Linked DNA regions of Callithrix jacchus. The protein of the gene in region 2 interacts with the protein of the main gene of each other region in a biochemical or structural test. Links are inferred from orthologs where the notes say so. Each region holds a gene or a part of one and is shown on either strand. Other genes may lie near its edges.

Evidence for each region.
Region 1: the proteins of MYH9 (region 2) and S100P interact in a biophysical measurement, tested with the Homo sapiens proteins (2 studies listed by IntAct). The link is inferred for Callithrix jacchus from reciprocal best matches to the Homo sapiens genes MYH9 and S100P.

Annotation. Positions count from the first base shown.
Region 1 is NC_133504.1:186,929,660-186,933,567, reverse strand, and holds the start of S100P (protein S100-P), read right to left. Parts: upstream 2,259-3,908; 5' UTR 2,205-2,258; coding exon 2,067-2,204; intron 1-2,066.
Region 2 is NC_133502.1:207,240,108-207,243,915, reverse strand, and holds part of MYH9 (myosin-9), read left to right. Parts: intron 1-99; coding exon 100-306; intron 307-895; coding exon 896-1,033; intron 1,034-2,087; coding exon 2,088-2,211; exon of another isoform or gene 2,212-2,606; intron 2,607-3,165; exon of another isoform or gene 3,166-3,808. UniProt on the Homo sapiens protein: Cellular myosin that appears to play a role in cytokinesis, cell shape, and specialized functions such as secretion and capping. Required for cortical actin clearance prior to oocyte exocytosis. Promotes cell motility in conjunction with S100A4.

The DNA.
Region 1 (3,908 bases), on a different chromosome or scaffold from region 2:
GGGTCCCAGGCTCTCAGGTCTTCTTTGAGAAGGCCAGGCCGGCAGGTCTCTCTGAGAGCCCACCCATTTGATGGCAAAGCGTCCTCACTGTGGGAACAAGTGGGACCAGGATGCGGATCTGAACAGCAGCAGCAGGGGGTGCTGACAACCCAGCTCTGGGCCAGAGAGCTGTGTGTCCAGGTGGAAAAACACAATTAAAATCGGCAGAAACAGATCGTCTGAGCAAGACACAGCTGTGTACGTGGAGACCTTCACAACAGCATGGTTTGTAATAGCAAAAGCAAGGCAGGAAGTACAGATTCAGTAGCAAACAAATAGTGGTCTGGCCACGTCGCAATACCCCGCGGCCATTTCAAGTGATGTTTGCCAAGGCTGTAGCCAGAGAGTCACCTCGTCCGACTGTGCCGGGCGCTGGGCAGGGCCTGGAGCAGATAGAGCCACAAGGCCGGCCCAGCCCTACCCGCAGGCAGACATTGTTCTCTGACTCCAGCTTTGCTGGGCTTCAGCAAAGGGCTGAGATGAGCACCAGGGCCTCCCCCAGGTAATTGTAATGTAACACACGTTTGAGGATCCCAGCTTAGACATTGCTTCTCCAAATGTGTTCCCAGGACACCTGCACCTGCCCCTCCCCACACCCCAGTGTCTTGAATCAAAGTCCTGGGTTCAGTTCTAAAACTTCGATCATTTTCAGAGCACCCTGAGCCCCGAGCCGGAGTCCCCAGCCTGGGGCTGGGGTGTTCAATGACCATCAGAGTTTGAGAAGGGATGTTGTAAGTTAAGTTCAAAAAGAAATTAAATTGCATCTAAATCCCACTCACATGGGGAAAGGCTGAAAGGGAGGGAAGCGTCTGTGATCCAGGAGGGATTTCTTCCCTCCGTACTTACCTATTTTTACATTTTCTACCACAAACAGAACTTTATTTTTAAAAGATATCTTTACAGCATTTACATTTAGAAAATGCTAGGCCAGGCATCGGGGCTCATGCCTATAATCACAGCACTTTGAGATGCAAAGGCGGACGGATTGCTTGAGCCCAGGAGTTTGAGACCAGCCTGGGCAACATGATGAGATCTTGTCTCTAGAAAAAAATACAAAAATTAACCAGGCATGGTGACATGCACCTGTAGTCCCAGCTGCTCGGGAGGCTGAGGTGGGAGGATCACCTGAGGCCAGGAGGGTCAAGTCTGCAGCACGCCGTGATCCTGCCAGTGCACTGCAGCCTGGGTGACAGAGTGATACCTCATCTCAAAAAAACATCCAGTGCTCTGAAGCGCTTTGTGTCTTTGAAGCTCTCCTTTTTGATGATCAGCATGCATGTGGGTCGGCCTCTGAGAGGGCAGATAGGCAGAGCCTGCTGGGGCCCGAAGGAGAGGGAAAGGAAGGAAGACAGTGGGGGAGTGAGAAAGAAGTAGAGGATGGAGGTCAAAGAGAAGAGGGAGAGACGGAGAGGGGAGGGCCTCTGTTTGGCCTGGTTGGAGGCTGCCCCAGGCGTCGAAGGAAGCTGGTCCCAGCCTCCCTGAGGGGCCTTCTGTGAGGCTCAGGCCAGTGGCTCCTCCCTGGCAGGGAGCCCAAGGGAGGCCCCCAGCTCTGTGCAGACAGGTGCCAGGATGGAGCCTCCTCCTGTCCTTCGTGCCGCTCCCACTAATACCAGGCAACAAGGGGCCTGGGAATGGGAACAGGGAAGGCGGGCAAGTGGGAGGTGGGGCTGGGGCGTTTATGGCCAGCAGCCTCGGAGGACTCGGCCTCGGGGACAGTCCTGGATTGCATTCCTTCCCCACCCCCACCACAGGTTTGAGTCCTACTCTCCCACCAGGGCTGTCACTAATCCACTAAGGTCAACTCCATCTTTCAAGGATGAAGCTGACCACACCCTCTCCTTGCTCAGATGCTCCAGTGTCCCCCGCCTTGATGCCAAGGTGGGTTGGTTCCTTGGCTGGGCATCAAGGGTCCTTCAGGATCTGCCCCCCTTGCCGTTGACCCCACTGCAGCTGTCTGCCCTCTGCCTGCAATGCCTTCCCCTTCCCCCCAGCCCCTCCTGAGTCCCCAGCTGCCCGCCTGGGCTTACCTGCAGGAAGCCCGGGAGCTCCTTCTCCATCAGCGCCTTGAGCTCCACCTTGGTCAGGGTCTGCGTGCTGCCCTCGCTGCTCGAATAGCGGGAAAATACGTCTATGATCATGCCCATGGCTGTCTCCAGTTCCGTCATGGTGCCGGGTTCAGACCCACCTTCCTCCCGGGGGCTGGCAGGGCTGAGAAATGTCCCCCTGGCGGCCTCTTGGTGCTTTATAAGGCGGCCTCATATTGACACAGAGGGTGGGACAGCGGGGCTGGAACATTCAGGCAGTCCTGCCCCTCTGCATGCGTGTGCTCGGTTCTGATGAAATGCATCGCTGTGTTGCCCTTTCTGGAACCTTTCCCCCAGCCATGGCCCAGGGTGTGGGCCGCCTCTGGCATTTTACAGTGCTCCCGTGTCTTGGGGCCATCAGTGAGTCACAGTGGCCCTCCCTGGGTAAGTGGGCACAGGGTGAATGTGTGTGGAGTGAGTGGTGACCCTGTGTCCCTGTGTGTTGGTATCAGAGGCTGCTGGCACTCAGCCTGCAGACGGGAGGAGATGTCTGAGTGAATTCCTGCTGGGCATGTGTGTGAACACATTTCTGCTCCCGCCGCCCTTTCTCGGAACACCCTGTGTCCTTCAGCGGTGCAGCTTCCCCCTCAGTCTCACTCGCTCCTCCCCTGTGGAGCCGAACAGAAAGCTCCCCTTCATCCTCTGGGAGCTGGCTGAAAATCAGTGGGCAGAAGGCAGATTCAGAGAAAAGCACCAGAGACGTATCTGATCGTAGCTGATGTGGCACGGCAGCCTTCAGGATGAAGACCCAGGGATCTGGGGGAAACTGTCCATGGTTACGAACATAAACACAGCATGGAAATATGATCGCACAGGAAAGTCAGGTGGACACGCACAGACCAGGAGGAGAGCCCGGCCCGGCCTGTCGGGACAGATTCCTCTGCGCCTCTGAGCAGCTTTCTTTCCTTCTAGGTGTGGCCAGGACCCTCTCTGGAATTGAGGTCTTGTGACCTGCAGTCAGATAAAGCAGCCCAGAGTGTTTCTTTGTGGTTCGTTTCTGTGCAGAAAGGGAAGGGGGTGGAGAACTGGAGTTGTAGTTCTGGGTTTTATGGCTGGGTTTGGGGACAAGGGGTTCTGATTGTGACCCATCTTGGGGAAGCCTCTCAGGGGAGGAGGGGCTGGAGAAAGTTTTGCTTCTGAGGCATCCACGTTGGGGTGCTGTTTTTGAGCCTCAGCACTTACCAAACCAGAGCAGCCACAGGGCTTAGACGCACAAAGGCTCCCGTGACCTCTCTCAGGTCTCAGGCTCGTTGGAATCCCTCCTTATCTCTATAGCAAAGGCACTCAGAGGGTCTGTGCCTCTGGGAAGCTGAGAGAGCCCTGGAGAGCATGGAGGTGGGGGCCTGTGTTCACATCCTGCCCCAGTCAAAGCAGACCCACGCTCACAGGCTCTCTCTCGGTAGTGATCTTCCAGAACGTCAGCCTCCAGCAAGTGCCTAACCTCTCCCGACACAGCCTCCACCAGCTCATGGGCTGCACTGGGAGAGCCCCCGCCGGCTGTGGCTCAACACAGATGGGAGCCACCGGTCTTACAAGAGCTGGCTTTCTCAGGACACATTGCCTCTGTCCAGGTGTCCTGAAGTGGAGGCTCAGCCTGGCCACACTGGTAACCCTTTGGGAGCAGGGACAGATCTGTTCTGCTCACGCCTGAGCTGGGCAGTTCCCTCTTGGGATAAGGTTGCACAGGACAGACCATCGTTCTACCCACTCCGCCAGAGGAGTGGGGAAGAGAAGGAGGCTCCCTGCCTCAGAGGTAGTGCTCCTCAGGTGGGGCATACACTGTGT
Region 2 (3,808 bases):
GTTCCTTTCCCGCTGGGATCCTGAGCCACAGCACCTGTCCTAGAGGATGGAGTGTCTTGAGGGTGTTGCGAGGAGCTTGTGTTTTCCACTTGCTTGCAGCTCATGGCAGAGAAATTGCAGCTGCAGGAGCAGCTCCAGGCAGAAACCGAGCTGTGTGCTGAGGCTGAGGAGCTCCGGGCCCGCCTGACTGCCAAGAAGCAGGAGCTAGAAGAGATCTGCCACGACCTGGAGGCCAGGGTGGAGGAGGAGGAGGAGCGCTGCCAGCACCTGCAGGCGGAGAAGAAGAAGATGCAGCAGAACATCCAGGTGCCCGCCTGCTGTGCCCAGGGAGGGGCAGGGCCTGAGGGGCAGGGCGGGGCAGAGGAGCAGGGACCAGAACCTTGGGAGAACATGGAATCAGGGTCGTCCGAGGAGGCCAGCTCCTCACGCTGTCTGCTTGGGGCACTCAGTGAGGGGTGTTCTCTTTGGGTTGGTGGTCTGTGACGTGTGCCTCTAAAATCTCCATGAGCACTGCCTGGGCCAGCATTGAGGCAGATTTGATCTCCCTGCCATCAGCCCTGGCCCTGGCTAGCCAGAATCGTGCAGGACCAGCAACTCCACCTCCTCCCTGTTCCGTGGGTGGGAGCTTGCCCCAGGAAACCCTCCAGAACATGGCACCAGGGTTCTGGCCCCTTGTCCCAGTTTGACATCTGGAATCCTGCACATACGGCTTGGGCCCCGCCTCAGCTGTGGCCCTGGGCTCATGGATCTTGCCGTTCCCCATCTCAGCCATGGCCCTGGGCTCACAGATCTGGCCATCCTCACCTTGGTGTGGCCCTGACCGTCGGACCTTGCTGCTTTTGCCTTGGCCATGCCCTTGGGCTTGCTGTCCTCACCGTGTCTCTGGCCCTGGCAGGAGCTCGAGGAGCAGCTGGAGGAGGAGGAGAGCGCCCGGCAGAAGCTGCAGCTGGAGAAGGTGACCACCGAGGCGAAGCTGAAAAAGCTGGAGGAGGAGCAGATCATCATGGAGGACCAGAACTGCAAGCTGGCCAAGGTGAGGCCTGTGGCCGCGACCTGCTGCCATTCCACAGGGCCTGTGGGTGGGAGAGTGTGGTCGCCCTACAGGGCTCTAGCCCCCCACTGCTGCTTCCTGTCTCTTCTGCCTGCAGCATGGGGGCTTCTGCTCAGCTGCAGGTGCTCCCTGGAGGTCCCATGGGCCTTAGTGGAGAGATTTTTCTCATAAATTGAAGGGGCCCTGGGAAAGGGTTTGTCCTTTCCCCTCTGGAAAGCTCTTTGCCAGCTGTGAGACCCGAGCCTCTGTACAGGTGGCCATGTGTGCAGCATTGCAGGTGTTGGTCACTGTGGGGTTGGGGGCACCTTGAGATGTGGGGTACTCCTCCTCCGCTGTCTCTGGATGGCAGCTGTTCCTCCTGAGAGCGAGTTGTGTCCCTGTTAGTGTCTACCCGGGGAGTAGATGGCAGTCGAGGAACGAGTTAGAGGAGAAAGCAGGAGAAGGCAGCCTCCCCACCTTTTGGGGCTCCTGTGTTCTCACCAAAGGGTTGGAAGGCTGAGGTGGCAGGATGCCCACCTGGGACTGGGACGAGGGGACTGAGATGCTTGTGCTAAGTTGTGGCACCTGGGCAGGGGTGTTGCGGGGGCCACACAGGGCAGAAAGCAACGAGAGCAGCCCGGGGCACTGTGGGGCTAAGGAACAGGGAGGCCATGGTGGGTTAGTGGGGCATGGAGAAGATGGCCTGGCCTGGTGGCACAGGTGAGCGCCGTGTGGCAGCCTCTTGAAGGCATGGAGCCATCTGTCCCTGCTGATACTAGCTGTCCCCTAGAAGCCTTTCTCACCCAAGCCCATGGGGTCAGGGGAAGGGCCTGGGCACCCACATTTTCTGTTTCTGAGGAAACATACCTTGCTGTTGCAGGAGAGCTGGTGACCTTTCAAAGTCACCCTTTGATCCAGGAAATCCTAATGAATTTGATCAGGTGTCTATAGCCCTCTCCATTCAGCCCAGAATTTCCTGGCGAGTCATGCTTTGAGGAGAGCCAAAGTGTTCTGTGCTCTACCGATACTAAACGCTGACTTACCTCTCTTTCACCAGGAAAAGAAACTGCTGGAAGACAGAATAGCTGAGTTTACCACCAACCTCATGGAAGAGGAAGAGAAATCTAAGAGCCTTGCCAAGCTCAAGAACAAGCATGAGGCAATGATCACTGACTTAGAAGGTGAGGGAGGTGACGGGCAGGGGGCTGGTGGGCAGGGGCTGGCCTATGACCAGAACACTGAGGCATCCTCAGCTCACAGGTGAGCCTGGACCACACTGCAGCACTGGCTGCTGCCCTTCAGACCCGAGGTCAGCAGGTCGAGGGGAGCTGTGTCTGGTGCCGGCGGGAGCCTGGGCTTCCAGGCCCCTGTTGCTCTGTGGCTAGATGCTCCCCAGCTTCAAACGTGTTAGGAGGAGAGCCTTGGTGTTCCCCTGTTGTCGTGCACCGTGGGTTTCAGGAGCTTCTGAGGCTTCCAAGGTGGCTCTGGTTTTGGCCTAGAGGACTCACTAGCTCTGTCACTGATGAGCTGGTTCAGCTTACACCTTTTACTTAAGTTCCATGAGCTTTAGTTTTACCTAAAAAAGGGGACACAGTGCTAGGGTGTCTGTGAGGATTTCATTAAATACATGTGAACACGTGTACCATAAAGTGCTAGACAGATACTACAGGAACTCACTGCTTAACTTGCGGCAGGGTGACAAATCCTGCCTCATCTCTCTGTGCCCTGGGGATCTGTGGCAGGAACGGGGGACTGGGGTAGAAGCACAGGTCTGTGGTTGTCTGAGGACCCCCGCCTCTGCCTCTTGAGAGGAGTGGACAGCTGGGGAAATAGGAGAACCCAGACTACGGTGGGAACTCTGAGCTCACACCCGGGAGAGGGAGGCCAAAACCCGACCCCTGGGAGGATTTTCCCCAGCTTGGGTTTACCACCCTGTCCGGCCCCATCACATCTGCAGGAGATGAGGTGAGTTAGGTCATCCAGTGGAAGAGAGGTCCAGACACAGAGAGATCTCTTCCCCCACAGATGCCCTCCCTCACATGGGAGCGGCCTGGAAGACTCAGTCATCCAGGAGGTCTAGGGGTGGTGCCCACCAGATGGACAGACATGAAAGGTTGACACTGATAAGCACTAACACAGATACGGAGCTGTCACAGCGCACACAGGCTGCTGCTGGAACTGCAAACTGGTAGACAACTTCAGAGGGTGATCGGGCAGTCCTAGCGAGGTTGAAGCTGGGCATGCTGGTTCCGTCCATCACTCTGTCGTGTGCGCTGAGAGTGAGCAGGGCACTCGCAGCAGCATTATCAGAGCGTGCGGTGAACACAGTCCATGCCTGTCAGCTGCAGGACGGGTACATAAATAAGTTGTGATGTGTGCCCATCATGGAATGGTAGGCAAATGTCCATACAAATCTATTCCAGCGAAACTTCACAGGCTAAATCTCAAGATTGTGAGATGGGGCGGCAGAGGCCCGTCAGGGAATAACCATTGTCGACCTGTTGTCGGTGTTTTTTAAGATGTGACTCACTGGCGCCTCACAACACAGCCTAATGAAGTAGGTCATCGAAGAGGTATTGACATCACAGAGTTATAAAGCTAGACATTGAGCCCTGACTCTGCAGTTCCAACTGTGGAATTCACACAAGGCAGTTCCATTACATAAGTTCCGATGCACACAATATTGAACATAGTTTTTAAAGATACAGACATGGTACAGCCTTCAAGGAAAAAGGGAATTATGAACGTCAGCTTTAGGAGGGTACGTAAGTACTTAAC